Linked DNA regions of Lytechinus pictus. The protein of the gene in region 4 binds, or shares a complex with, the protein of the main gene of each other region. Links are inferred from orthologs where the notes say so. Each region holds a gene or a part of one and is shown on either strand. Other genes may lie near its edges.

Region 1 (7,605 bases), on a different chromosome or scaffold from region 4:
AGCCACTTCCATTTCCTGTCCTTTTAAATGGGATTTTGTCGTGTTTTTTATTCTCTCTGGAACTTGGGCTGTGGAGTATATACCGCCGCGCTCCTAGCTCGATCCGCAATTCAAAGATCTAGCCGACGGTTTTATGCTAGCTAGTCGTGTTGCCGTTTTGATACGGCAACACGACCTTAGCTGGAGGAAGAACACAAGAGAGATACGGTACTACCGGTATAGAGATTTGAATAACCCGGGGAGCGTTTCATCAACATTTCTTTCCGACAAGTTGTCAGATCTGACATCTCTCCTTCATTTTGATTGGCTGAGAAGCACTGTAACTATGGTAACTGTCAGATGAAATGGTCGGATAAAACGTCTGACATGTCCTTTCATATGCTCCCCAGTTTTATCTGATAGTTACCATAGTAACAGTGCCTCTCTGCCAATCAGAATCAAGGAAAGTTGTCAGATCTGACAACTTGGAGGACAAAAATGTTGATGAAACACTCCCCTGGGATTAAGGCGAAAGGGTTAAGGATTGATCAAATTAAATCACAAAAGGAAGTTTCAAAGATCAGACTTCAGTAATGATCCCATGATATTTTGGTCGCCATTGATCAATAGGGGACCATGGTTAATTCACTATACCTTGAATCCACAGATTTCCCCTCCTCTCTGCATTGCAAGGGGGAAATGGCAACTGAAATAAATATCTTTTTTCTCTATTTCACACTCCTTTTCGGTCATTTCTTTTCTCTCCCCCCCCCCCCCGGCCCCTCTCTCTTACATGGGCGGGAATCACAGGGGGACAGGGGGACGTGTCCCCCTACCAAAAATATAGTAGGGGGACACAATATCCAATGTCCCCCTACTATTTTTGGTCTTTTATGATGGAAAGAAATACATCATTCAAAATCGAAATAAAACATGTATTTTGGACGAGATGACCTTATAACTTTTTTAGTGATAACCTTTTTTTTTTGCTAGTCAAATTTATTTTCTTTTAAATGATCTTACATTTGAGGTGATAACCTTTTTCTTTATTTTTTTTAGTGTCAAATTTTCCAGCCCCTGGTCCCCCTACCTTTGGGGAGAGATTTCTGCCCCTTATATTTCTTTATCTCTCTTTTTTTATTTCCTTTCCCTTCTTTTCCTTCTCTCTTTATTTTTCTTTCCTCTTTTTTTTTCTATATGCTTTCACGACGGGGGATCCAGCTTTTGACAATGTCCATTATGAGATCCGAAGGAAAAGAAGAAAAAAAGGATTTAAAAGAGAATAATGAGGAAAAAGAAAAGATGGGCTTACTATATCATGACTGTATGAATTTTGAATCGTTTATCACGTAGGTCGAAAGATTATTAACTGTGAATCAACAAATGAAATGGATTTTTCACATGTATAGGGCCTACTTAACTCAAGTCTTAACATGTTGGAGACTTGGAGTGAAATTAATTTTTCTTGTAAATATACATCATCGCGGGACAGTTAAACCTGGGCGTTGTGGCGTGCGCCTGTAATCCAAGCTGTGGGGGAAGTTACAAATTTATGCAGAGGTTCGAGGTTCGAGCCCTGCATGGTCACGTATTTCGGATGGTGACGTTAAAGGTAGGTCCCAGACGTAAACAATCTAATATTTTTTATACACGTCTGACAAAACTCATACACACACACACACAGTTAAAACTGTTTATCGCCATTTTATGGGAAACATGGTTAGAATCAGAAGACGTGATACTATATATGCCCTAATTTGTAGCAATTATATATGCAATAAAGTCGAGGCATCCATGAAAACAACCGGTTAAAATGGAGATAAAAATGGGGCCCGGATGCATATTTCATAAGGAACGGTCTATTTGATGGATTTTTTTTTTTTTTTTATCTTTGATGGATTCCCTAAAACCCTCACCCGGTATCATTTCAATTATTTTCTGTTATGTTTACAATAAACTTTATGTCAGGGTGAATTTCCCCTGTAATGAATTACGTACAATAATTGGGATCCAAAGTGTGCTTCAAATTTGAATATTGTGGAAGAGCGATTTGACATGAGAAGGCAGTGTATGTATGTCCAGGAAAAAATAACAAATTCCCACTCAAGTGTTATCAATTCGGTGCAGGAGATCTAAAGTGTTATTTAAAAATGTTACCCTCTTTCCATTAGTCCAACATTATAATTCTAATTTTCTTCTCATAACCTTTCTTATTTAATTTACTGTACGTGGAGGGGTTTTTTGATTTTTTTGCGCGGGGTTTAAGACTGGCTTTTTTTACCTCAGCCATTTTTACCTCTGCCATTTTACCTCTGCCATTTTTACTTCTGCTATTTTTGCCTTTTTCGTTTTTCCCTCTGCCATTTTTACACCGAGCCTAATATTGCATTCATTACTTCTGGCATGATGATTGTCCATGTATATAGAACTCTTTCAAAAAGATTAGGTAGAACTTCTCAATTGCAAAATCAGGGGAGCGTTTCATCAACAATTTCGTTCGACAAGTTGTCAGATCTGAAACTTTTTCTTGATTTTGATTGGCTGAGAAGCAGTGTTACTATATGGTAACTGTCGGATAAGAGCGTTTCATGCAAGGATTTAATTCGGACATTCATCCGACAAGTCCCATTTTATCCGACAGTTACCATAGTAACAGTGTCTCTCAGCCAATCAGAATTGAAGAAAGATGTCAGATCGGACACTTGTCGGACAGAAAATTATGTTGATGTATAACGCCCCCCCTGCATGGACTTGACAGATAAAACGCCTGACAAGTCCTTTCCATAGAAAGGACTCTATGGTCCTTTCATGCATGGATTCAGCGCTCCCCTGAAATCCATCCTCGGCTAGCTCCGGGTCGGCATAAGTCAGTCGGTTAATTTGATTTATCTCTGATTATCAGCAAACATTTTTTCTCAGACCCTGAGAAAATGTACTTTAATAAATAATAAGATTGTTCATATGAATGAAGTATGCTAATTAATCTATGCATAAAATAGAGAATTTTCTCCAACTAACTATAAGACAGCCCCAAACAGTAAATTTTCTATTCACAGATTCTTTGTAGGATCCTGATCAAAATGTAATTTAAAACAAAATTCGGTATCGCATTTTTTTGTATTTTCTTAATTGTTTTTTAAATTGTTTATGTAGGCCTTTAAAAAAAATGTTTTGATTTTTTTTATTGCTTTCGATGGAAGTTTTTGTCGACTTGATTCTGATCATAAACAAAATAAAATTAATTGATTTCATTCAGTAAAAAGTATAAATAATGATACATTTATAAATATTGACTAAAACACAATTTGCATTGAATATGAATTCGCGTTTTTATAGTAATTACTGGTCTGGCATCCATGCACTTAGATTTTGTTGCGTATAATTTTGTACCCTTTTTGGGTTGAAACTAAAAAGAAAAGTATATTCCTGTAATAGCCAAAAAGTGAAAAAAACATCTTAAGAATTCAAGTTGAGGAAACATGCAGGGATAACACCTCATACATCTCGAAAATATGAAGCTTTTGATTTCGAATAAATAGCAGTTACATTTTCTCAATTTTTCCTTTTCTTTTTATCCCCTCCAATTAGGCCCTATTGCAAAAGGGGAGAGGATGTTATTTTTTCTCTAGGGGGAGTGGCACTGCGGCTTTGGGAGCGGAGAGGAGGCGGCTTTTGTAGCTGTTTATGTTATGGTAACTCCAATAGAACTCTAGAATAGGACAGCTTCAGTTGTTTGCTGATATACTTGTAATGCAAGGCTGGTACGAAATACCCTATTGTGGGGATCGAGGGTACGTGGGGTGGATGGGCAGCGTTATCGTCACTGCATCCAACGCAAGAGGGTGCGATATAATTAGCCAGATACGCCATGGCCCTGTGAAGCGGGGGTGCTGGTGCTGACGGCTAGCACCCCAAAAAATTTTCTTGTTGGTGCTGCGTGTGTTATTTTCCATATAGGCAGCAAAAGTCAAAGATTTGTAAACCTGATTGAAATCCTCCAAAACAGCCTGTTATCATATAGTTATATCGTCAAGATTCTCACAAGATAGGCCTATACCCTCTTGTGTCGGGTGCACAAGGTCACCACTTCCGTGTTTTAAAATTAGTAAGGTAATTAAATAGGGGCATCATACCCACTGAACTAGAATACGTATTTCTAGTTCAGTTATCATACCCCCCCCCCCCCCCGCATACCACACTCCCCACTCCGAGGCAGGGGGAGTGCATGACAAGCACATTTTTTTTACACACTTTTTTTTTAAACAAAATTTCATATTGGTTTCCTCCCCGGTCTGCTAACAGCATTATAATTACTCTTCCACTTAATATATTACACCCTCTTTTCTCTTCTTTTCACAAATAAGAACATGATCATTCCTATAGTCCATCTCTCAAATTGGTAGGCTCTTCTTTCCGTTTTGTTGTCTATCTTCACTTCACCTCGTTCCACTTTGATTTTTGTAAGTCAAATTTTTTTTTTTAATAATGAAAATTATTTAATTTTATAAAATACATTTAAATATTAATAATTGTAAAATTAGCTTAAAATCCTTTAAATAATTATTTCGTGCGTGTATATATATTTTTATTATATCTCTTTATTAATGTCTTGACAAAGACTTGGAATTTATTCAAGATGGCTGCGTCCATGAGACAAATGCTGTCGCGACTCTCTACCGCAAAAGAGGGATTGAAGGTTCCAGGACGTCTTAAAACGGGTCTCCCCAAAAAGATAGGTAAGATAAAAGATCATGGCATTATCCTGGTTAGACAGCTGGCAGCCGTCTGTTTCGAGGAGTTTTTTAACATTTTTTTCCCCTGATATTACTCACAGCTCAGTCCAGTGAGTCCACAGACGGCTCGCTATCGTCGACGTCGGGAGGTGGCTCCGGCCCGCGAAGGCGTGCCGGAGCCTAGTCTTGACTTGAGGACGCAATGATGATGACTTTTAAAATAATGAAATATACTTCTTCATCAATATACTTCTTCATCATTGACGTCAAGACGTCAATGATGAAGAAGTATATTTCATTATTTTAAAGTCATCATCATTGCGTCCTCAAGACTAGCCGGAGCCCAGGGCCAGGGGCCTGTTGCACGACGAGATGAGCGATACGTAGGAACGTCCTTGAGTCTTGACTCCTAGGACCATTCTTCCGAGAGAGGAAGATTGGCGACAAATCAGCGCTTTCCGTTTCACGAAGGCAATTTTGTCTTCCAAGCCCGCGACATCGTTTGATATCGATAGTATCGGAAAATTATAATTTAGTCTTCATCGCCACCTGGCTGAAGCTGAACCTTTTATTTCGGAATGACGACTTTTCATCAAATCATATATTTCAATAAATGGAGATCAAGTAATGTTTTATTTATTACTGATTGTAGAATTGATGTATGGAGCTTACTTTATGAGGTAAAAAGAGAAAAAAACTTTAAAGATTCACAAACTTAACTGGATAAAATTAAAAAAAATCACATATTTCCCTTATTTAGAACTCGGTGTCCTTTTAGTTTTAGAGACACCTTTCATTGATATTTCAACGAAAGAGATCCTTGTCCGACATAAAAATTGAATTAATTAAGTAATTTCGACATTGTATTAGGTTGATATTCTGATTTTTTTTATGGAATACTTATTCATAATGATAATTTTGCAAATTATGTGTTAAATGTTATTTGTTGAGGTGAAAATTGGGTTTGAATGGAGTAAACAAAATCGACGTGTCTGATTGTATGAGACTAAAAAGGAAAATATGAGAGGCTGTGTGTGAAAAATCTAATTTATTTATTTTATTTGTCAGATACCGGTATAACGCAAGAAATACAAATGTGAGTGTTAAGAGTATAAACATACCTTTGCATAATACCGAAGACAAGCAAAATATGAAAATTGCCGCTGCAAACATGTCCAAGTGGGTAAAGTAGTGCTTTTCAATAGAAAAATGTGTAAAATCAATCTGCAATGGAAAAAATACAGTTCAATGCTAACAATGACTAAGATCATTAATGTTGGTCATATTTAAATGATAACTTTATGGAAGTTTATATAAGAATATAAGCTTTAAGAATATAATATATGTATATTTTTAACATTTTAAAGTTGAGGAGTCAAGACTATATTTTGCTTTAACATGATATAGGGGCTGATAACGGACTTTCCATAATCTGATCTTTTATAGGTACAATGAACTTATCTTAATATGTAATGACTGATGGGTTCGTAAGCTATAGGCCTTATTTATATCTTAATTTCAATTAGCTACATGTATTTTGTTATTGCAGATTTTTTTTCCGTTCATCAACTCAAGTTAGCAACCCAACAATTAATATTCATTGATTGAAATTAATCTCAGCAAAAAAATATAATGAAAACGAAATGAAATATAAATAAATGATTTGCACGTTTATTTATATCATGTTTTTTTTTTGCTGAATGTTATAAACATGTTTTTTTACCATACCGTATTTTTAAAATTTGTTTTCATTTTTATTATCTAATGAGAAAGCATGAGGCGTCAGAGAGATTGCCGCCCATTTCAATATTTCAAGTTTAATTGAAAAAAACAAACTGGAAAATGGGTGGGGAAAAGACGGAGGGAGAATAAAAGGAAACATGCTAAAAAAATTATTTGGGCCTATAGTACCCGGAGAAGTTAAAATGACTTCCGCTTTTGGTCGTCTTGCTGTGCAAGAGTCGACAACCTGAAATTGATGACAACTAGCCCCGATATATAACAAATAACTTGGCGCCATCCCAGATAAAATGCATCAGACTGCAATCGAATGGAATGACCCCCAAAAATGTTTAAAGGGGATATGTCAGTGTGGCTTGCCGTAAACGCATTTTCTCTCAATGCCGACGGCGGGGGTGGTGTGCAAAGAAGAACATGCCTACGTAGGACATGTCTGGAGGTGTCTTTCCAAGGACCATTCTTCGTATCGCCCAAATCGGCTTTGTGAACCAGTTGAGCGATATCTCGTTCTTACGTAGAACAGTTCTACGAAAGACCCTTTCATGCAACAGGCCCCAGGACTCGTTCGTGTAATACGAGACGGACATATATTCTCCAAAATGGGGTAGAATGGGGTCGCAATAGCACTCAAAATAAAAGGGGAAAATATAAATTATGCACTTACCTCGATTATATGGAAGGTCTATCGTGAGACACATAATCCTGACATCGAGTGATCGAGGCACAATTAAACTGGACCCTCAAAAAAAAGGAAGAGTTCTGTCTTGTTCGTTCTCCTTCTGTCAAAATTGAAACCAAAATGGCCGATCGATACCAAAAACGAACGCGACAGAGGTCTAACTTTTCCTTTTTTTTTGAGGGTCCAGTTTGTGCCTCGTCGCGCGCCCTCGATGTCAGGATTCTGTGTCTCACGATAGACCTTCATCCATATAATCGAGGTTAGTGCATAATTTATATTTTCCCCTTTTATTTTGAGTGCTATTGCGACCCCATTCTGCCCCATTTTGGAGAGCATATGTCCGCCTCGTATTACACGGACGAGTCCTGGGCTCCGGCCCGCAAAGCGGGTCTGAGCTCCCTGGGTTAGCTATCGTGCAGCCACCATTAGGGGGTTAACAATTGATGCAAAATCCCCCGACAGGACTCATCGAAT
Region 2 (7,994 bases), on a different chromosome or scaffold from region 4:
CATAAATTAAAATGAAAAGGAGCCGTCTCTCTTGTCGTCAGCTCCAATTCAGTTGACTATATTCTGATTTTGAACATTGATTTGAAAAGTGATTGTGATATGTTCGAACGCACTAAAAGGGATAAATGGAGGAAATTAAAATAACAATTACCCCGCGCGAAGCGCGGAAGCTAAAGCGTTTTATCAATTGTTTTTTAAGAAAAGGGTCCCGGGAAAAGGGTATCAAGTTAGTTATATCATGTATATTGAATTCCCGTGGAAAGTTTGATTACAAACAATTTAGCGACAGTGCATATTTTTAACTCGCAAAACAGAGAAGAAGAAGGGTGCCGGGAGGAAGACATTCCTCCACGCGCACAGCAATGAAACTCTGAAATTTCTAAGGGCGGACGTTACGTCAAATGCAGATATCTCCAATACCCCCATCGGCTCTATTGATTTTCTAAGATTATTGAACTTCATTACAAGGAAAATAGAGCGCAAAAAGTTGAAGCTTCTGTGATTTATTGAAATTATATTATAAAAATAATAATTTCTTTGACTCATCCTGAAGCGCTCGCATTTGAACAATTAAGAAACTTAAGTGTCTTTCAAAATTTCAAACTGAGACATGACATGAAGTTTCATCGAATTTGATAAAAATATTGTACTTTTTTATTTAATACGACACGAATTTTATACCTTCCTCTTTTTCAATTAGGAACCTGTTTACCCCAAAATTATGAATGTTTATTAACAAGCTAAAGCGGGAGAAGTTGCCTATATGGGGGTGACGGCAACATTTGATATAAAGATTTTACCCGCCGGGAGCCGACCCGACCAGAAGTGCGGAATGTTGCGTGATCAATTTGAAGGAAAAAAAGACAACTTCATATAATTCGGCCTAATCTTACTCTAATTCCATGCCCTAATGTATACATTTTAACTTTAAGTAGCAAGGAACGCACTAGCCCTATAACCGAGGTGGAAAGACAGGGTTAAAGAAAGGGTGAGGGAAAGGAGAACTGCAATATTGTCATTTGACCGCGCGAAGCGCGGAAGCAAAATTCATATATATATAAATTTAGAGCGAGAGTGAAGGAGTTTCGTTAAGGTACTAATTCTTTTGAGAGAAAAATAAAGAATGAAAAGAAAAACCCACAAAGCAACCTCTCTTCCCCTTCCTCCCTTCGCTTTCCTTTTCTCCTCTCTTTTTCCCCTTCCTTTTTTTCTTTTTTGGGACGTTTTGGGGGGGGCGACCGCCCCCACCGCCCCCCCTGGCTACGCGCCTGTTTGACCTTGATCATGTGACCTGAAACTCGCACAGGATGTTCAGTGATACTTGATTACTATTATGTCCAAGTTTTATGAACTAGACCAACACACTTTCAAATTTATGGCTGTAATTCAACAAATACCCCAATTTGGCCAAAGTTCATTGACCCTAAATGACCTTTGACCTTGATCATGTGACCTGAAACTTGCACAGGATGTTCAGTAATACTTGATTACTATTATGTCCAAGTTTCATGAATCAGATCCATAAACTTTCAAAGTTATGATGGTAATTCAACAGATACCCCCAATTCGGCCAAAGTTCATTGACCCTAAATGACCTTTGACCTTGGTCATGTGATGTGAAACTCATGCAGGATGTTCAGTGATACTTGATTAACCTTATGTATAAGTTTCATGAACTAGGTCCATATATTTTCTAAGTTATGATGACATTTCAAAAACTTAACCTTAGGTTAAGATTTTGATGTTGATTCCCCCAACATGGTCTAAGTTCATTGACCCTAAATGACCTTTGACCTTGGTCATGTGACATGAAACTCAGGCAGGATGTTCAGTAATACTTGATTAACCTTATGGCCAAGTTTCATGAACTAGGTCCATATACTTTCTAAGTTATGCTGTCATTTCAAAAACTTAACCTCAGGTTAAGATTTGGTGTTGACGCCGCCGTCGCCGCCGCCGTCGGAAAAGCGGCGCCTATAGTCTCACTCTGCTATGCAGGTGAGACAAAAATGAAGGGTCTTTAATAGGTATTTAGTATATTAAAAAGAAATGAACCATGATTTGACAATGCAGACCATTATCTTGGCAACATGTGCCACCAAGTATGGGTATATATCAGAAAAATAATCGAAATAAAATGACCTAGCGAACAGTGAAAAACAAACCCAATGAGAGCTGGTTGAACCATCTCAGATAAATACAAGTATTTATAAAGTGATTGTATAACAAATAATATTTACCCTTTTCTAGCAGCTGGATTTAGAAAGACAGTTGCTTTGACAGGTTTGCTAAAAGTCTTTTCCAGTTGCTGTCCATACACCTATAATCACAGAACATCAAGATATCATGTGATTAATGTCAATGCGAAATACCACTGAAGAAAATAATAATACCCCAGCGAGAATGTAGCATTTTAGCTCAGTTTATTGCCATCTGTCTTTTTGTGGCAATAGAGCGAGTACCCAACCCATCAAAAGAAAAAAATGTTTTGTGACCAATTTGTACATGTATCAGTCTCATGAGCATTTGGTGAAAACTAAGAAAATGGTTTGAAATGTAAAATATGTACTGTAACAGACCAACCAACTGACTGACCACCCAATCCCCTAAAGTCATACACTGATTTTTACATGTATACATGTACCCCTTTTTAGAGTTCATTTGAAATTCATTCAGTTATTTTGTCAATGTACATAGCCGACAAGCAACGCTTATCTGCTCGAAATGTCCTGGATAACAGTTCTTTTCAGAGCTACTGTCAGTAAGATAAACCAGCAGTCCTTTTAAGGACCAACCTACATGGTGTTATAAAAAAACTCTCCATTCAGTCTTACCACCATGCAAACCTTTAAAGCTCACAATACATACAAAGTACACTAGTTGATTAGTTCTGTCATGAAACTATCAAATGTTGCAACTGACTGTGAATAATATTTATAATAGATCATAATATTCAATGCATAGCTACCTGTGCTTGTTTGCAGTACTCTGTTCTCAACAGATTTGCCCTAAAGATTGAATAAAAACAAACAAACAGAATGATAAAGGCAACAAAGAGGAATAACTCACAATATTATTTGGATGTAGGGTTTTAGAGGCGCAGATGTTTTTGATGTCTTGCGAGGTTGTTTTAAAGAGACAAAATATTAAGTGATTTTTAACGTGCATGCCTATGGAAACCATCCAATATTGAAAATATTGGAGAAAATTAATGTTTTGCCCCGCCCACAAGCTTATCATTGGTTAATAAATGATTGTGCGCGTGAACCTATTGTTATGTCACAATGAAATTGTATTGTGTATTAGTTGACAGGTGTGGTAAAGGAGCATCGATTTATTGAATTCAAATGCGCTTGCATTATACGCTAGCGCATCTTTATTTTATTAAAGATTTTTAAATTACAATAATCAGGCGCCCATGCTCATGATTTACAGGAATGCCATAAATGATGGTTTTGCTTCATTACTTTGTTTGGCTTTGTGGGGATTTCTAAATAATAATAATAATATTGGATGACCAATTTTCGTGGGATGAAATATTGTTACTTGCTGAAGAACAATATTTCTTCGCATCCACTCAATGCCATCCAATATTCCGTAAATATCATATCTCATTTTAACAATATTCTTGCCGCAATTGTCTAAAGTTTTATGGTGTGAAGGAGAATGGATTAGAAAATATGGATGAAGCTATTTGTCAAACAGCTGCTGAGCGTCTTGGTGTCCATCTAACCGTAAACGATCTCAATAGATCGCATTGTGCTGCTCCAAGGAGTGATAAACCAACTTCAGACTCTGGATCTGCAGGCATCAATCAGAAGAACAAGAAGCCGCGTGCCATTATTGCCAAGTTTTGTTCATACCCAATCCGAAACAGTGTCCTGCGTGCACGGAGGAAACTGAAAGGTACTGGTATGGGGATAGAGGAGGCAATAGGACTACAAACAAGGAACTTCTGTGGGCTGCGAAGAAACACTCAAAGGTCAATGGAACTTGGTCCTCTGATGGACGAATCGTAGTCCTGTTAACTACCACGAATGGAAAGTCAATTCGTAAAACCAATCACAGAAAAAAAGACTTGGAGAATCTGTAACCTGAGAGAAAAATCAATGCTGTTGCATTCCAGTTCAGATTGGTTTATATCAGTCGGTTTATTATCTGACTCTAAAAGATAAATAACAGATAGTGATTGAAATAGTATTTTACCTTTTGTCAATTGTTTTTCACATATTTGTGTTTTGTGAAGATTTTGTGTTCTTGTCCTGTTACATCTTGTTAATGATGTCGAATGATGTAATAATAGACTCAAGTTTGAATAAAGATGAAACCATCAATAACTCATCTGTAAATTTAAACGATACTTACCTTCTCCCATTTGCAGAAATTGATGACTAGGAATTTGAATCTTTATTCCGTTTTTCAAGAGAATCTGTCGATACAGATAATATAGACCGACAACTTGTGGAAAATGGCCAGGATGAATATACTGACTCTACCAATGTGAGTATCACTTGACCTCCAAATTCAATGAAATTATCAAAAACTCTGTAACAAGACACTTGAGCATGATCCATTTCAATGCAAGAAGTTAATTTCAAAATTTCGATTACATTCACAGTTTTCTCTCAAATATCAGATTTAGATTTTCAGTGATTGGGATATCGGAAACATGGATCAACTCAAACTCTCATTTCCCCTTTTCAATTGAAGTTCCTACATTGTGACCGACTAAATGGCCGTGGTGGAGTTGGTCTATTTATTAGAGAGGATATGAATTAAAAATTGTGTGATTTTTCAGAGCACTATGAAGGTGTCAATGATTTACACATTGAAATAGAGTTCAAATCAGGGGAGAGTATCATGATTGGGATAATTTATCGCAAACCGAAATCGAGTATTTCTGCATTTACTTCATATTTTGATAGACTGATGAATAATAGTTATATAAATAATGTTTCTTCTTAATGGGCAACTTTAACATCGATTTGTTAAAAAAATCTGGAAGCCCTCTATTTCTTCATTTTTTGAACCATGTGATTTCATCGGGGTTTTATTCCATTAAAGACAGACCTAAACGAGCCAATAGTAGATCATCAACTATTATTGACAATATATTCATAAATGTTTTTAGTCGTTCCCCTTTGTCGGTGCCTTTTTACCAGATATTCCCAACCACTTTCCTATCTTCCATTTGTAACATTTGTCAGATATTGTAATATATGAGCAATGAAAAGTACATGTACACACCTACAGGAAGATATCCCCTGCAGCATTAATCATTTATGTGCTGATCTTTCAACCATGGACTGGTCAGAAGTATACCTACAAAGCCACCCGGAGATGGCGTATGACTCATTAAACTTTATTACCTTGTATAACAAACATCTGGCAGATGTTTGTTATACAAGGTAATAAAGTATCTGCTAATCAGTACAAAGTATATTGGTAAACGTTATCAGAATAGAAAGCCACGGATTCCCCTCAATATGATGAAGCTTACAAGAAAGAAAAATAAATGTTATAAATTGTACCTAAACTCTATGAAAGCTAATCACGATAAATATAAAAAGATTCGAAATGCTGTTACCCTGAATCTCCGGCAGTTGAAAAGAAAATATCATTTTGATAAGTTTGAATCCTAGAAAACAAATTCTAATAAAATGTGGAAACTTATCCATAACATTTTGGGAAAACAAAAAAATAATTCTGATAATCAAAAGTCTTTTTTACACAATGATTGTAACATTAGTGACTTCGTGAAATTGCAGAAAATTTAAATGAATATTTTGTCAATATCAGATCGAGCAAAAACAATGATCCCAATGACGATCATTTTAATTTGTTTGATATGTATATGAGTGACCCACTTTCTCATGTTTTTTAAACCGATTACAAAAAAAGAAATATTAGATATCAGTAAATCGCTATCTAATATTAAGAGTACCGTATTTGATGACATTGATCCATGTGTTGTGAAGAATGTTTTACCTTTCATTATAGACCCACTCTTACATATCTTTAATTCCTCTCTTGTATTAAACTGGAATTGCGCCTTCAAAACTGAAAATATCAAAAGTTGTTCCCGTTTTTAAAAAGGAGAATCCTAATCTATTCATCATCTACTGTCCAATATCAATTTTGCCATGTTTCTCAAATATCTTAAAGAAATTGGTTTTTAACAGACTATACAATTTTTTATTATGTCACAATGTATTATATGATAGTCAATACGGCTTCCGTCAAAATTACTATAGGAAATGGCACTTATTGAAATTCATGATAAAATAATTAGTGAGCTCAATGCCGGTATTAAGGTTACGGGAATTTTTAAAGATCTCTCCAAGACTTTTGATTCTCTTCCTCATGATAAAGTTGCAATATAATGGTATAAGAGGAGTGTCTTTTAATTGGTTCAAGTCATATTTATTACATTTACTGTCTATAATAATACCCATTCGTCTTTCATGGAGAAATTAAAACAGGTAGGCCCCTAGGTTCTATTCTTGAGCCTTTATTATTTTTAATAGACATTGTTAATGTAACTCTTGCCATGAACCACATTTTATATTGTATGCCGATGATACGTCACTTCATCATCATCACGGGTACCCAGCAACAGAACGAAAGTTCCATGATGCTGTGGTCGGGTGCAGATGCGAAATTGATTAGTTTAGAGCAGCCTTAAATTTGTCAAGCGATTGCATTGATGTAATGGCTAAGGGAAGGTCGTTCCAGTCCCGTATGGTTCTGGGCAGGAATGAGTACAGGTGCCTATCAGTTCTGGATTTGATGATATTGTAGGCATCTGGTGTGAAGCGTCGACTTGGACGGCTAGAGTTTTAAGGTGGAGTTTGGTTGACGTTACTGGAGATTCCCCCTTATGAATTAAGTAGAACTGGCTCAATCTGGCATTGAGTCGGCTGTCAACAAGACTTTCCCACTCTAATTGTTTTAGCATCCTGGAAACACTGGACTTACGACTGTAGTCGTTGATCACAAAACGAGCGGCTCTTCTCTGAACTTTATCTAACATATGGATGTATCTAGCCTGGTAGGGATCAGTAACAGCAGACGCATACTCCAGGTGTGGACGAACAAGAGCTTTGTAAGCTTTCCCTTTGGTATCAGAGCTGCAGTCTTATTTGCTTTGCTGACTATTCGCTGATAGTGTGATTTCCCCGGGGGGGGGGGGGGGGCACTCGACCAAAAAAGTGGTAGGGGTGTGCCGCGGGCGAGACAAAAAACGGGGGCCTTGGAGCGGGCTTATTGTAAAAAGGAGGGTCCTCGGAACGGGCTTCGGAACTACAAATGTTTGTGAAAACGGGGGACCTTGGAACGGATCGCCAGCGTGTGAGTGCGTATGCATTCCTATGATGCATCCCTATGGAACAGACAGGCATGCGTGCATGATGCAGCTAGCGCGGCCTCCGCCGGGTGCGCTCGCGCAGAGGCAATGGTCGGACAGCGCTCTGCGGCCGCTTTTCACCAAAATTGCAGCTCATTGTAGCAGATCAATGCGACCGGAACGGCGTAACGAAAATATGCAAAGCTTTGGAGCGGATTTCTTTCTTCTTTTTTCTCGATAAGAAGAAAATGCTATGCTTTGGAGCGGCTTTCTTTCTTCTTTTTCTCAATAAGACAAAAATGCTATGCCTTGGAACGGAAATTTAAGTGTAAAAATGGGGGTCCCCTCCGCGGCACATACCCACTATGCATTATATACTGAGTGCCCCCCCGGGGTGATTTCCAAGTAAGATCAGCAGAAATCGTTACTCCAAAGGTAGGTGTCAGAATAAATAAGAAAATTTATTTGATTTTTTATTATTTCCTCACTATAGAGGGCGTTTGAAAATATTTCCTAGGCCTAATTTGAATATGCAAATAAATAAGGGTGTGGTTCGATATCGTAGGTCTGAAGGTTTACGTATCAAGCACATACGGCGCAGTTGATTTTTGATCTGGCTAGGGACGGTTAGCTGTGAGAGTGACCCTAT
Region 3 (7,768 bases), about 3.2 Mb from region 4:
ATTGGCTGAGAATATGGTAAATGTCGGACAACTTCTTTCATAAAATATTTTTCTGGCATTATGGCTCGTTTTGATATTGTAAACAAGGAATTTTGTACACGGTCAACATTGGTCATTTTATTTTAGGTTGTAACTATTTTGAAGAGGATATCCTTCCATTACTTGTTTCTTTTCTAATCAAAGCTGAATTAGATCTACATTGTTTTCTTCTTTATTTCATTAATATATATGTATTATGTACATGTATTACAAACCTTATGTAAAAAATTGTGTACAGATTATGTAGTATTTCTCAAATACTGTTCTTCATTTTTGACCCTGCTGGTTGAGATGTGCTGTATTCTTTATGTTAAGTATGTCAAATTAGAACAGGGGCAAACAAGTTTTGTTCACAACAAAGTATGTTACAAGATATTCTATCTTTAAAATTAAAAAGAAATCAAGGCAAGGGGATATCTCCGAGTTTGTCAAATGTGCTGAACTCCATGTTTGGTGCTGATATTGTGAAGAATTTCAATAGTAAATTCTATATTTCAATATTTCATGAGGATATCTCTTGTTTAGATGGTGAAATAAGCACATGTGAAAAGGGTATGATGTAAATTTGACCAATCAAAATAACTATTTTTTATGGGTGATTAAATGGATGTGAACAAAATATTATTCTACTATCCCCTACCACCCTGAGACTTCCAAATGAAATGGATAGTAGTCATTAGTACCATACTTTTTTTTACTTTCTGTCAGTATAGATAAACAGGCAATGTCAGGGGGTTTTTTCACATGGGTAGGGCTAGCCATGGGAGATTTATTTAAAGGTCAAGTCCATCTCAGACAAAGGTTGATTTGAATCAAAAGAGACAAATCAAGCAAGCCTGTGCTGAAAATTTTATTAAAATAAGATGTAAAATAAGGAAGTTCTGACATTTTGAACTTTTGCTTATTTTTGTCAAAACAGTTCTATGCATAACTCAGTGATATGCAATTGAGACAGTTGATGTTGTTAACTCACAAATGCTTAATAACTTTTTTATTATATGAATTAAGCAACACTTTAAGTTTTCCAGATTGATAATAAGCATCCTCTTGATTGAACCATGAAAGATTAAGCCAGATGGCAGTTTCAAAAGTTTTGAGAGGACTTAAAATTTGTGTCACTTTGTAATGAGGAGAAAATTAAAATACTTTTTTTATATTCATATCATAAATTACAAAAGAAATAGTGATTGGATGATGTAAAAGGTTCCCTCATTTGCATAATGACCGGTATATGCAAATTACTGTCTTGTGAAATTACTCAAAATTTGTAAAATGTCATACTATACTTATTTTATTCTGATTTTGAATTTGATGAAATTTTCAGTATGAGTTCAGCAAGATTTTGTTTTTCTTTTTATTCAAATTGACTTGTTTGGGTGGACTTCCCCTTAGTTCCACATTTATGTGTTTGTATCCTCCAATTAAAGTCAAATCTAGTGAACCCCTTTTACTCCTGATTTTGGCTAGTCTCCTGTGCAAACCCCTCACTTGAGTTAAAGGTCTGAATGTGCAGCCTACATATTTACTGAAACAGCAAGTTTTATATATGCGAGTCTTCTGTGGAGACTCAATTGTTGATCAAAGCTTCAATTAGGGTCTGTGCCTGCAGACTAGATTAGGGCTATGTGGATTCTGAACATTTTTGTTGTGTTGTGGATTTTTCTTTATTGCCCCCTCTCAAAAATGAATACAACATGTGTTAATACATGTATATATGTTTTTTTCTAATTAAAACTTGCACAAGTTCACGAAAGCTAAGTGTTATGTTCATTTATCTGCATGGTTGCATGGGGTTTTGCATGATGTGCAAATTTCAATTTATTTTCAATTCAATATTCCAATAAAAAGCAATGCAGAGTATAGAATAGAGTGATAACACCATACAACAATGATAAGGCAAACAAAGGTATTAGAAAAATAGAATTTAAAGAAGATACATGTTCAATTGATTTGACTAAAAAGAATCGCCTCAACAAAAATCCCACTGACTGGCCTTTCGTTTCAGTTATATTAATTCCTTCGCATTCTATAAGGATATTTCAATGGGTACTAAACAATGGTACAGAAAAGCTGAGAATATTGGCAAACTAAATAAAAATGGTTTCAGTTCTGCCGTTTTGTCTACTGCCATTTTGTCCACTCACCATATGGTCTAATGTCATTTCGTCAGCCATCAGTTGGTCCACTATCCACATCGTCCAATTACCATTTTGTCCAATAGCCAGTTGGTCTAATAACCATTTTGTCTATTCTCATTTGGTCTAATTGCATTTTTTTGCCATTTGGTCCAATAGCCACTTTGTCCAATCTCATTAGGTCTATTACCATTTGGTCTAATAGCCAACTGGTCTAAAGGCAAATAATAATAATAATAATAATAATAATATAGAGTATTTCTAAAGCGCCAAATCCACATTGATTATGTGCTCAAGGCGCTGAAATATACTTGGTATATTATTATTACCCCGGCTGTAGCTGAGCGGCCATACAGGCGCTAAAGCATTCAAGGAATAAATCCCACCGGGTACCCATTCACCTCACCTGGGTCGAGTGCAGCACAAAGTGGATAAATTTCTTGCCGAAGGAAATTACGCCATGGCTGGGATTCGAACCCACGACCCTCTGTTTCAAAGTCCGAAGACAAATCCACTGGGCCACAACGCTCCACAATAAATAAATAAATAGTCTAATGACCACTTAGTCTACTTTCATTTTGTCTATTGTCCATTTGGCCTAATGCAGTTGGTCTACCATCACTTAGTCTAAACCCATTTTGTCTAAAAATCATTTGGTCTAATCACCAATAGGTTCAAATGCCATCTTGGCCAATCATTTCGTCCAACATTCATTTCATCTACAACCATAAATAGTCTTCTACTATAGCAGCCCTCTATGTGTACGGTGCCTGTGTATTGCTGACTCGCCTCCTGTAGCGCTCAGGATTTCTGATTAATACACACCTGTTTTTGTTATTTTGTTTTTGTATTTTTGGTTTTATTCACATGACTTCCTCTTATTTTACCTCTTTCCTTTTCTCCCCTCACCTACTTTTTTCTCCTCTTTTTTTTTCTTTTTGTGTGTGACTATTTGACTATGTATTGTTACTTTGATTTTGTTGTGCTTTGTGAACGGAAAATGAATAAATCTAAATCTAAATCTATTATAAATATTAATTACCATTCTTCTTATTATTATTACTATTATTTATTCATTTTTATTATTATTGTTATATGATGATGAATGATCGATGATTATCATTTTAATTGTTATATCCGACCAGAATTTTGAGTTACTTAGTGGGCTCATATACTGACAATAGAGCTTTTAAGGATTGTGTTAGTAAAAGGATATGTATCTCCTTAATCAAATAATTCAAGCACGAAGCGCGAGCTGAAAATTTTTGATATTCAGACCAGAAAAAAGGGGACATTTTAAGGACTGTTTTTAGGTTTTCATGAAGAGCAGACATATCTCACCAATCCGCGAATGCAGACCTAAGCACGACTGGAAATGTTTTCGGAGGCTATCACATTAAGTAGTCATGAAACAGAAGCATATGTCACTACATAAAATAGTAAAAGCTCGAAGTGCAAGGAAATATATTTGGTGTATATTGACTTGAAAACGGGATGTTTCAATACCATTTAGTGCCATTGAACAGGATGATCTATCTCATTAAACAGACAATGCGAGCACCAGGAGTGACGAACACATAGGCCCTAAGCAAATTGTGTTTCATACAGTTATGAAAAATATATCTTGTGTATAATATAATGCAATATATAATACAAATGTTAAATAATATAACATTAAAATAAAATACAATGATTTCTTCTTTCCCCACTACATTTCTCTTTCTTCCTCTTTTTCTCCTCCCCCTCCCCCGTTTTTTTTTTGCCAGCTGAAGGGGGTGGGGGCATGTGTTCATTCCATTCCTGATAGTAGTTATCATGATTTTTTAATTCATTTTTTATTTTCAATAATTTCAAGGTATATATATTTAAGTAATTTTGCCGCCTCTGCTCGGATAATGCAACGTATTTGTGTTTGACAAAATGGCTATTGGACCAATTAGCTATTAGACTAAATGGCTATTGGATGATTTGGGAATTGGAAGAAATTGGTTGTTAGACGAACTGATTACTAGTATCGGACCTAATGGTTGGTGGACAAAAAGATAATTAGACGAAATGGCAATTAAACGAATTGATAAGTAGACAATTTGAATATTGGACCAACTGATATTAGCCGACATGGCTATTGGACCAAATAAATGTTGGACGAACTGATTGATGGAAGAGTTGGCATTAGCCTAAATGGAATCAGACTAAATGGGTGGTAGACGAAATGGATATTCGACAAAATGACGACTGCTGGACGAAATGGGTGGTAGATGAAATATTGATTGACGAAATGGCATTTGACAAAATGAAGGTAGACCAGTGGGATGGCAGTAGACGAATTGGCAATTTAACATAAAAATATGTGTAGTAGCTAGCTCGACCCCTAGATAGCCCCCCCCCCCCCCCCCATAAATGCGTGAAAAGGGGCATATTAATCTTAAGTCATCACAGCTCCCATGCTTCTGTAGAAAAAAGTCTTTTATAAAAATAATATTCAACTATCCACTGTCATAAATTGAATTGAATTGAAATTGAATAAATCGCAGTTTGTTTTGAAATAAATGAGATGAGATGAGCAGCTCAGAGTAGCCTTTTTTCCAAATAATTACTTTTTTATTTGTGTAAGTGCGTTTACCATAAGAATTGCTTGGTCCACGTGCATACTAAACAAAATTGCAACGAATATTGAGAGGAGAATCGATCTTTGTATGTTTAATAGTTTCAATATCCGTCGATTATCATAATTTATACTAATTCGATTAATCATCTGAACCTAAACTGTAAAAAAATAAGGATATATTCATTTCGCCAGTGCCATCTTCGCTTCGGACTTTGCATCTGCTTGACGGACCGCTCGTCTCATTATCCGCCGCAACCTCGGCGTGGCAAAGACGGCACTGCGCTAGAGAGGAGACTTCACAATTCCTAGTCGAATAGACTTGAACAATCATGAATGAACAGCAGCAGCTTCAGCTCTTGGCTGAATTAGAAGTAGAAATGATGGCAGACATGTACAACAGGTTAGTACTGCTAATGTAAACATGGTAAAAGTAGTAAAAGTGCATGTGGCTGTTCTCCGAATCATATTTTCTTTGACATTATTATACTAGGCTGCTCCACATTATATAGAGTCTAATATTAATACTTTTAATACTAATAGTAATATATTAAAAATTCATCAACTCGAATACCAATTTTTGATAAATTGATTGTTGAAAAGTCTACCAATCCGTCTATGTAATCTTTTCTCATTTTGTAAAACGATGTTCTTGCGGGATGCAGCAAAAAATTATTATTTTTGACCGATAAATATCGCATGATAAAGTTACAATAGCCCCCTATCTCTTAAATTTTCTTGTATTTTAAGGAAGTAAGCAGAACTTTCAGAACTACCTTTTTCAATGTTTTTTCTCGATTAGTTATCTTGCGCACAGATATTTTTATGTGCCATTGTGATTGTCAACTTTACGCATCATAACTGTGATGTCAAACATGCTCATTCAAAGTTACAAAAAAATTACAAGAAAAGATACAAGAATGTCAGACTACGGATTTTATCTGAAGATACAAGATAAGACAATTTTCAGAATACGGCTCCAGATCCTATCGTCCTACATTTCATTATCTTATACCATAATTTCAACTAATTCTTAAAATGTATGTACTTTTCTTTTTTAGGATGACTGTTGCTTGTCAGAAGAAGTGTATTCCACCTACCTACAAAGAAGGTGACCTTTCTAAAGGTGAAGCTGTCTGCTTGGATCGCTGTGTTGCTAAGTATTTGGAGGTCCATGAGAGCATTGGTAAAAAATTGACTGAGAAGTCAGCCCAAGATGAGGCCATGATGAAACAAATGCAGGGACAGAGTTAGTGATGATCTCCAATCAGCCCAGGGCCCAGGTACATTAGAGATGCAATTCAATTGAATGTACAATTCATTGAATTGCTTTTAAAATGTTATAGGACCCAGATCAGATGTAACTTGTGGATGCAGTTATCTTGGCCACATATCAGCTTCATGAAAGCATTAACTATTAAGTCCAGAGGAGTTTGGTTTTCAGCAGTGGTCAAGGCAGGATATCGCCTGTTTGTAAGATCATATTTGAGAAGTTTAATTTGTAACTTGTCCAACGGGCTGAATGAAGGACAAGAGAATGATAACTGAGCCATGCAAGCCTCACCCACATTGAATTTGATTTTTTTTTTTTAATTAGAAAATTATGATAATACTCTGCTTTAGATTAAGATGCAACTTCTGTGACACAGAATCTGGTCAGTTTGTATATATGACTAGCATTCTCTTGCCTTGCATTTTTGCATCATGTTTGCAAAATTGCTATAGGTTTAGCAACGATGCAATATTTAGGTGCAATCACTCTGCAAGTGTTGCAATGATGTTATTATCCAGCGTGTTCTGTGCAGACTGCAGAGCACAGGATTGCATGGTAGATTTGAGAGGACAATATATTGACACTTTTGCTAAATGTCACAGAAGGTAAATCGCAGATTTAAAGCCATTGATATTGGCGGAATTGCGGGGGTAACAAAACTCTGTGTATCTAGAAAGGCATGTTCTGGAGAATTAAAAAGAAAATTATTCAGTTTCATTTGAGCTTATTCAGCTTTGCCAAAATTTCAAATTTTGTATTGTAGTCCATAGTGCATACAATTCCAAACTTCTGATAGTAAGCATTTTTTAATACAAGGGTGAGGCTTCAAAGTGAAAATCAATACTGTATTTTTCAAACATATGTTTCTAAAGATGGATAGGATAAAGTGACCATTTTCAATAAAATGAAAAAGTATCCTAAAACACCTGAGGTGAAAGATTTGATTCAGCATATAATATGAATAGGTTAAATTAACAATCAATATGTTGGGTTGTAATGGGTCCCGAGCCAAAAATCCTTGATTTTGGTATCAATAACCTTTCATGCATGGATCAAGTATCGGGATTAAATCTTTGTTAAGAGATTTTGATATGAGAGTTAACTTCATAAGTGTTAAACAAATAGGGCTACATGTATGTACAGTGGTGTACATCTGCCATCTCGTCAATATTTAATTTGACAAAGAATTAGTTTTTGGAAACTTGGGTAATTTTCACTACACTTTTGTAAGATTGGTATGTATATTTGTCTTTTACCAAAGCTTTAATTATACCATGACTGTTTACATATCATCAGTGATACTAATCACTATAAAAGAATGATCATCTGAATGTACTTGACTGACTGGTATAGGCACACTTGGCATGTTAAGAAAATTGATGTTTGTTGAAATTTTATTCTTGCCAAAGTTGCCATTGATACTCTTAACAATTTACGAGTGAGCAACTACCATGGTGACAGCCAATATTCCATGGTTGGATAGCAAAATTATCACAAAAGTAACTTTGATGCAACTACCAAAAGATAAAAGCAGTTACGGGCAGATTCATGATTTCTTAAAATGTGGAGAGGGGCACAGGCTGTAGGTCAAATCAATATTCTACCAAATTTATGAAGAGACCCCCCCCCCCTCAAAAAAATAATAAATAAATAAAAGGGGGAGGGACTGGTCTCGCTCATCTCATAAAAGGGCGTGCACAACATACATTTTTAAAA
Region 4 (7,599 bases):
GGCAAACATCGCTTCATTGCTGAAGACAGTGAAGTAATATTTGCCGAAACTCCTTCTCGCTACGCACCGGGGCTCTTTCCGGTAAGTAGCAATACATACAAAAATTATACATATGATTTTGAAATTATTTTATGATAAAAAGAGCAAATTTCGCTTACCTCGGCCTAGCAAGTGACTTCGTTTGTCTCTTCTACGGAAATACAAGGAAGCCCATTGGTGGCGCTAATAAATTTCACAACCTTGATTCAGCTCCTCGGTAATTTTATAACTGTGTCTAAATTTTTTGAATGTGCAATTCTTATGATTAATTTACTAATTATGGGCACCAATAAATGAAATACCTTAAAAAATATAATTCAAGATTACTATTGGCGATGATAACACTTTTTTGCAATCAATTTAAAACGATGACTAATAAAATAAAATTGAAAAAAATACACATGCCTGTAACGAAACCAGCAGTACAAGCTTTAATGAACGTCAATAATACGGTATACCAAAGTCTATACAATGAAAAGATTGGACACTTCACGGACTTCGCGTAATGCCTTGCGTGGATTTGCGTGTAAAATAGTGTAGGTGCCTAGTCTTTCCCTTGTCGTGTCTTTGATATGAATATAAATCGCGCGCCCTCTTTAGGAGAAAATTGATATCCACACCAACCAATTTTTATCTCCGTGAAATCTTCACTAAAGATCAAGAAAATATACATATTTTTTTAAAGAAACTTCAAGGAGAAGTCACGGAAGGATCTAAATGATTCGGTAAGTGTCATAGCAGAATGTGAAATACCAGATTATGCGTGATATTTTATGTGGGCAAAAGCCCAATCTATTTTCAATGTGTCGTGTGTGTCGTGTGAATATGAGTTTATGACTGATATTCCTTCGCACGCGAGACGATATGAACCCATGGGTGCCCCTGGCTCGCCCTGCCTAGACCAAAAGCTTCGGTCTCTGTTATGTTGGTTGTTCAGCTGAACTCCGTTGGCTTCACTCACCAAATACAGAGACCGAAGTTCTAGCGCGATCTGTACAGGGGACTCAATGGCCATATATTTATGTACTTAAGATCTGATAAAACGGGGAAATGAATTTGCGCGACAGCCGAGGTAAGTCACTGTTTTTGTTCCTTTTAACTTGATTTTTCTCTGTTTTTTGGCAATTAATGCCAAGAGGGAATATTAATTTGCATTTTGGTCGCATTAATTTTCAAAATTTTTATTCATTAAAGCCAAAAATTGAAGAGCCCCGACGGGGGGATTTTGCATTGCAAGTCCCCTAATGGTGGCTGCACGCTAGCGAGCCGTCTGTGTACGAGGAGAAATTAAAAAAAAAAAAAAAGTTAAAAAACTCCTCGAAACAGACGGCTGCCAGCTGTCTACGCCCTGCCTAGACCAAAAGCTTCAGTCTCTGTATTTTGGTTGTTCCGCTGAACTACGTTGGCTCCACTCACCATACATAGACTGAAGGGGATGGGGCCCCGTACCTACAGCCAACGTATAGTGAACTAGCGTTTTATAGATCGCGATTTAAAACTGTTTTTTAAGCAAAATTGAAAGTTTCATGGTTTCCATTATCAGGGAAATATAAATAACTTAAGTAATTGCATACCTTGGGCCGGAGTTATTGAAAAAAATCCTATGGATGATTGAGAAATCTGTCATCTAAGACATTTTCACCTGACCTGACGGTTTTTCTTGCAAGTTGCCATCTTGAATGACGTCATTATCGTTATTAACTTAATGTCTCGAATCGATATATCGCGATTATAACTAGTACTAGTACTAGTATAACTAGTATCGTTTATCTTCGGTTTCGATCGCATATGGAGCAGATCGTATAATATCGAAAGCAATATCGATATCACATTCGTGATTGTTGACGTTCGTTTGTAAATATTTTATAGTTTGGCTGCCATTTTGACCATTTTTATCGTGTTCAACCCAATTAAACATCGGTAAAGTATATTTTTCATGCCTTTTTCATCTATATCGTTTAAAGTATTTAAATATTAAAATATTGAATTTTAAAAGTTTGTTGTTTATACATCCTTAGATTGTAAATTCGATGTGTAAAATTACATCAAACTTTGGACTGTGAATTGACAAAAGGGAGGGAATGAGAACACATGCGAGCCCACACGTACACCCTACCGTCGGTAAATGGGGATTACAGTAAAATGTCAGAAATTGTTGAATAAATCCCCAGAAACGACGGTTATTCCTGTCTACGCCCTGCCTAGACAGCTGGCAGCCGTCTGTTTCGAGGAGTTTTTTAACTTTTTTTTTTTTTTTTTAATTTCTCCTCATACACAGACGGCTCGCTAGCGTGCAGCCACCATTAGGGGACTTGCAATGCAAAATCCCCCCATCGGGGCTCTTCAATTTTTGTCTTTAATGAATAAAAATTTTGAAAATTAACCCGACCAAAACGCAAATGAATATTCCCTCTTGGCATTAATTGCCAAAAAACAGAGAAAAATCAAGTTAAAAAGAACAAAAACAGTGACTTACCTCGGCTGTCGCGCAAATTCACTTCCCCGTTTTATCCGATCTTAAGTACATAAACATATGGCCATTGAGTCCCCTGTACAGATCGCGCTAGAAGTAGAACTTCGGTCTCTGTATTTGGTGAGTGAAGCCAACGGAGTTCAGCTGAACAACCAACATAACAGAGACCGAAGCTTTTGGTCTACGCCCTGCCCTGCCGGAGGTATGGGGAGATACGTACCGAGAACACCGCTGATGACTGTCTTGAATGTGCAGCTTTCCATTACCCGTTCAATCGTTTGTTCCTCAGGCGATTTAGGTGGAAGGGGAAGGCCATATTGCCTCATCTCTGAATTAAACCGCTTCTTATTTTCCCCAACTAATGCTTCCATCACATTTAATAAACGTAAATCTCCAGGATCTGATTCATTTTTAATTAAACCTGCTCCTCCGTCGTCATGTGTTTGACTACTGGGCGCCGCCATCTTAACACAGTGCGCGCAGCATGGATCGATAGTCTGCAGGTACAGTACAGACCCTGATTAAATTTTTTAGCCACAACCGTCACACAAGACTAGCACAAATTAATCATTCTGTTCACTTTCATGAATGAGAGGGAATCTGTATCCAAGTCATTGGCAGAGACCGGCATCAGTATCATCATCATCATCATCAACATCATCATACATGTATCATCATATCATCATCATCATCAACAACATCATCATCCTCCTCCTCCTCCTCATTATCATCATCATCATCAAGGCATGCATCATCACTAAACGCCTATTGCCATCACCACGCCCGTCAGGCCTCTATCATGGATTCATAAGTTAATTGATACAGGGTTGTGTAAAGACCCCCCAAAACCTTATCCATTCTCTGCAGATTAACATCCATAATATCTACGGTTCACTTGCTCGAATCTTCATAATAAAAGAGAAAAAAAAAACACGCCCCCAACAAGACAAATAAGGCAAAAAAAGAATTAAAGTTAAAAAAAAGCAAAAAAAAAAACAAACAAAGACACATGGAAAGATTGAAATATATCAAGAAAAATTATAAGTAAAGAAACAGATAAGATAAGGAGAAAGTGTGGTAGAAAATGAGCTGAGAAGGGAAAAGAAAAGGAAATACAATACAAAAAATGTGGAAAACAAAGGGGGGGGGGGGAATAGAAGCTCATATGTGATGAGTGTGTGGAGGCCAATGGGGAGGGGTAAACGGAAGAGAAGACCTTGAAAAACGGGTGACTCCCATCGAGGTCATGGGACACAGGTCACTGGTGGCAGCAGGGCAATGCTTGCCGCGGCCGGATCTAGGAGTCTTAGGGGAGGGGCATATTTTTCTACAACATATTTTTAAGAGCAAAAATAAAGGTAAAATGTCTTTCTCACCATATAGCAGTAAGCAACAAAAAAATGGTCATCACTGAAAGCACAGCCCCTTGACCAAACGGGGCACTACTTCATTTGAAAAACCCTCGAGGGATGAAGTCCCACTGACTGCGAGTGCCCACAATTTGTCAAATATAATGGTAGGTTCTGTCCGGGGTCCTGTCATGCCTATTTACCTTTTAATAATGAGTTTATATTATAAGAATCTTTCCTTTGAAATTGACACTTTTATCATACATTTGCTCCCTCGATCATCCTGCATGGATCCGCCCACCTGCTCCATACTGCGACACGATTTTTATTCAATAGACGGGAGTATATATTCTCAGAAAATAATCGTCACCTTAATTGGCACACAATCCTGAAATATCTCCGATACACTGGCGGATCCAGGGGGGGGGGGGAACAGCAGGCACGTGCCCCCTTTTGAGAGCCATGATCAAATTTGTAATACCGCTTTACCCAAGTGTGCCCCCCTATTGAAAGTGAGAACTTTTTTTTTCTTTTTCTTCTTTCTTTTCAAAGAAATGCCTTCCGATTTTAGGTGAAAACCTTTTCATTTTTTCTTTTTTTTTGCTTGTCAAATTTTCATGGGAAAATGTGCCACCCCCCTTTGGAAAATCCTGGATCCGCCCCTGCTCCGATCTATACTAGAGTCACGAATTGACCTTGACTTATAACTAAACAAAAGTGAGAAAATGTCAGAGGGAAATGTTGTGACGTCATCTTGAGTTAGCAGAGTGAAATTTACTATCACACGCGCAAGCGGTCGGTGAGCAATAATAAGTAAATTCCATTTACGGCGTTACTCGGGAGCTGGCGACAATTTTTCATGACCTTCGGTGCTGTCTTCGCGTCATACCTCTATTGAGTCCGGCTTTTGATGAGTGTGTTCTACCGACATCTATCAATATGACTACCAGTACCAGCTCGCTAAAGACAGAGGACATACATAATAACACCAATAACCATGATCTTTAGCTAAATAAAAAACACAAAGCCGGATTACTCAACACAGGAACAACGAGGACTCCCGTTTAGTGGAGAGTATGTTGCCATGGTAATGAGCCAGTCAGATGTATCTTCATCATAACGAGGAATTATCCCTTTAAGTTCATTATACGGATCGATTGGAAAGATAAACTGAATGTTTTATCCTTATCTCATCGTACAATCATCTTACAATTTTCGCCGCTCTGAGTGCTGGAATCACATTAGGGTATGTATTTTTAAAGTAAAATTTGACAACTTTTATGACGGTTTATAACCAATCTCTTTTGCTGACCTCAGATTTATCATCTTTCTCTTAGGACCGGATATTAAATTCCATTAACAAAAACTCCTAATTGTTCTTCATATCCCCAAACCTGCACCCCAACCACCCCAACCCCCTCTTAATATGGGTATATTATGTAGTTACACGGTCAAGAACATTTTTAATATATATATTTCTTCTTTCCCTTTCTTCCGTCTCATCTGTTTTCTTATTTTTCCCACTAATTAAAATGCTTCATGCTCCCCCCTCAGTGTGGAGCCGTCCCTAGCCGAGGGCTGCTTGTTTAATTTGCATATCATGACTTTTGATCACCTTCAATTCTAATGTCGCTTCACTAATAATAATTCTTCTCTGACATTATTATGGATGGTGTTTCACAGGTAGCCGATAGAGATATAAATCACGTATGATAATGAGCGGACTTAGTTTAAAGTCGTCATCCGATAAATTTAACTGGCCATTTCTGATCAGAATTCATCAACCTATAAGTCTGTAGGCGTCTAGATCTACATGACTCACTGGCGGATCGGGGGGGGGGGGGCACAGCCGGCCCGTGTCCCCCCCTTTTTTTTTTTAGCATTTCGCACTTGACATTTCGGAATGTGCTTATATTAAAGTTATAGGAATGCAGGGGGGTGCAATAATACGGTTACACTTCGTAATTCCGAAGGTTCGTAATTCCGAAACACGTAAATTGCCAATACCTCGATGTTCGTTAATCCGAAAACGTAAAAGGGTTCGTTAATCCGAACATTTGTGGCGTTATTCCGAAGGTTCGTTATTCCGAAGGTTCGTTAATCCGAAAACGAAATAAGGTTCGATGTTCCGAAGGTTCGTCAATCCGAAAACGAAATAAGGTTCGTTGTTCCGAAGGTTCGTTAATCCGAAAACGAAATAAGGTTCGTTGTTCCGAAGGTTCGTTAGTCCGAAAACGAAATAAGGTTCGTTAATCATTAGTTTTCGGACTAACGAATCTTCGGAATCACGAACCTCATTTCGTTTTCGGATTAACGAACCTTCGGAATTGCGAACCTCACTTCGTTTTCGGACTAACGAACCTTCGGAATTACGAACCTCATTTCGTTTTCGGACTAACGAACCTTCGGAATTACGAACCTTCGGAAATACGAACCTTCGGAATAACGAACCTTCGGAATATCCGAACCTTCGGAATAACGAAGCTTCGGAATTACGAATGTATATGCGCAATAGGTTTATAGGTTTAGTAATTTTCAAAACATTAAAATGCATGTTTGCTATTATATCTCATATTCTGGACAATTATTTGTGGGTGTACTTAGGGTAAAATCAAGGTATATTGCATTTTTGCACGGAAATACCCAATATATCCGATATACATGCCTAAATTATATATCAAGTTGTGACAAATAATGAATTGTCATGATAATAATTTTTTTTAAAAGTTTTTTGTTATTTCCCTCCGAAATAGGGCATATATTTGCATTAACATTTTTAACAATGATATAATAGACATAGTACAAAGCATGATACACATAATATAATTTTGAACAAAGTATAGGCCTATACATGCAGGGCATTTCAAACAAAAGGCAACCGAAATGAATTTTGACCAATTAAAGCGCACATGATGCTACATTGTGAATGCTATCAATTAAAATGCAAAAACTAGTTACTCCAAATGGAATGAAAATTTAGGTAAACAAGCACACTTTATTCTAATTCAATGAATATACAGTCTAGCTCAAACTCCATATTGTTTGAAAACGAGAAAATGGAATACAAGATCAAGTTATCTCTGAAAGCACTAAATCCGGCGAAGTTGAATAGGAGATGGATAATGGCCGGCAAATCCTATAGTAAAATGAAAAACAGGGACCGCCCCCGCCCCCCAAAAGAGAGAAAAAATCACACCCCCTAAAAAAGTACAGAATAGAAAAGAAAATCCGAAAGGTATATAATACTGACGTGCTTTTTATACACCCGTCATTCCATCGAGAAAATAGTGATATCATACACATTGAAGTCGTCTTACCCCCTATACCCTGGCAAAGCATTTGGAGGAGGCCTGTACATCAGTATAATATTATTTGCGATTACAACCAAACGAAATTAAAGTACCCACAAAATGATCCCAAAAGGAATAAGATGAGTAAATGATACAAGCAGAGTTTGAACGACAATCAATCTATCATTCAATCAAAACGAGTGAATGAAAAATAAGTTTTCAAGTTTTGTAATAATAATGATTATGTATACTCTAAAAACACAAATGGGAAAAGGATGGAAAAGGGCCGAGAAGTTACCCCGTTTTCCACTCTTTTTTAAAAACACTGTCACTCTTCGTTTTACCCATTACCACCCTTTCATAAAGAGTATATATATATTGGATCATGGATATATTTGCTAGTATAGGTCCATGATTGGATGCACTTAAATATGTATGTCAGTCAATG

Evidence for each region.
Region 1: mitochondrial import inner membrane translocase subunit Tim22-like (region 4) and mitochondrial import inner membrane translocase subunit Tim29-like share a complex: the UniProt entries of both Homo sapiens proteins name them as parts of the TIM22 complex. The link is inferred for Lytechinus pictus from reciprocal best matches to the Homo sapiens genes TIMM22 and TIMM29.
Region 2: mitochondrial import inner membrane translocase subunit Tim22-like (region 4) and acylglycerol kinase, mitochondrial-like share a complex: the UniProt entries of both Homo sapiens proteins name them as parts of the TIM22 complex. The link is inferred for Lytechinus pictus from reciprocal best matches to the Homo sapiens genes TIMM22 and AGK.
Region 3: the proteins of mitochondrial import inner membrane translocase subunit Tim22-like (region 4) and mitochondrial import inner membrane translocase subunit Tim10-B-like are in contact, whole or in part, in a cryo-EM structure (PDB 7CGP), measured with the Homo sapiens proteins. The link is inferred for Lytechinus pictus from reciprocal best matches to the Homo sapiens genes TIMM22 and TIMM10. Residues at the interface, in NP_037469.2 of Homo sapiens: Tyr25, Ser26, Leu28, Leu29, Gln30, Tyr31, Leu32, Val33, Arg40, Leu42, Leu47, Gly48, Glu67, Glu144, Ser145, Tyr146, Gly148, Ser150; in NP_036588.1 of Homo sapiens: Pro3, Ala6, Gln7, Leu9, Ala10, Ala11, Leu13, Glu14, Val15, Met17, Met18, Ala19, Tyr22, Ser44, Lys45, Gly46, Glu47, Arg53, His62, Glu63, Gly66, Leu69, Thr70, Ser73, Met74.

The regions. Positions count from the first base shown.
Region 1 is NC_087255.1:1,813,099-1,820,703, reverse strand, and holds the start of mitochondrial import inner membrane translocase subunit Tim29-like, read left to right. Parts: upstream 1-4,596; 5' UTR 4,597-4,615; coding exon 4,616-4,715; intron 4,716-7,605. Other genes in the region: calcium homeostasis endoplasmic reticulum protein-like, read right to left, coding at 1-12. UniProt on the Homo sapiens protein: Component of the TIM22 complex, a complex that mediates the import and insertion of multi-pass transmembrane proteins into the mitochondrial inner membrane.
Region 2 is NW_026974140.1:1,665,076-1,673,069, forward strand, and holds the start of acylglycerol kinase, mitochondrial-like, read right to left. Parts: upstream 3,004-7,994; 5' UTR 2,969-3,003; intron 2,321-2,968; 5' UTR 2,241-2,320; intron 1-2,240. UniProt on the Homo sapiens protein: Lipid kinase that can phosphorylate both monoacylglycerol and diacylglycerol to form lysophosphatidic acid (LPA) and phosphatidic acid (PA), respectively. Does not phosphorylate sphingosine. Phosphorylates ceramide.
Region 3 is NC_087246.1:16,543,386-16,551,153, forward strand, and holds the start of mitochondrial import inner membrane translocase subunit Tim10-B-like, read left to right. Parts: upstream 1-4,768; 5' UTR 4,769-5,111; coding exon 5,112-5,182; intron 5,183-5,840; coding exon 5,841-6,033; 3' UTR 6,034-7,768.
Region 4 is NC_087246.1:19,694,191-19,701,789, reverse strand, and holds the start of mitochondrial import inner membrane translocase subunit Tim22-like, read right to left. Parts: upstream 3,018-7,599; 5' UTR 2,977-3,017; coding exon 2,733-2,976; intron 1-2,732. UniProt on the Homo sapiens protein: Essential core component of the TIM22 complex, a complex that mediates the import and insertion of multi-pass transmembrane proteins into the mitochondrial inner membrane. In the TIM22 complex, it constitutes the voltage-activated and signal-gated channel.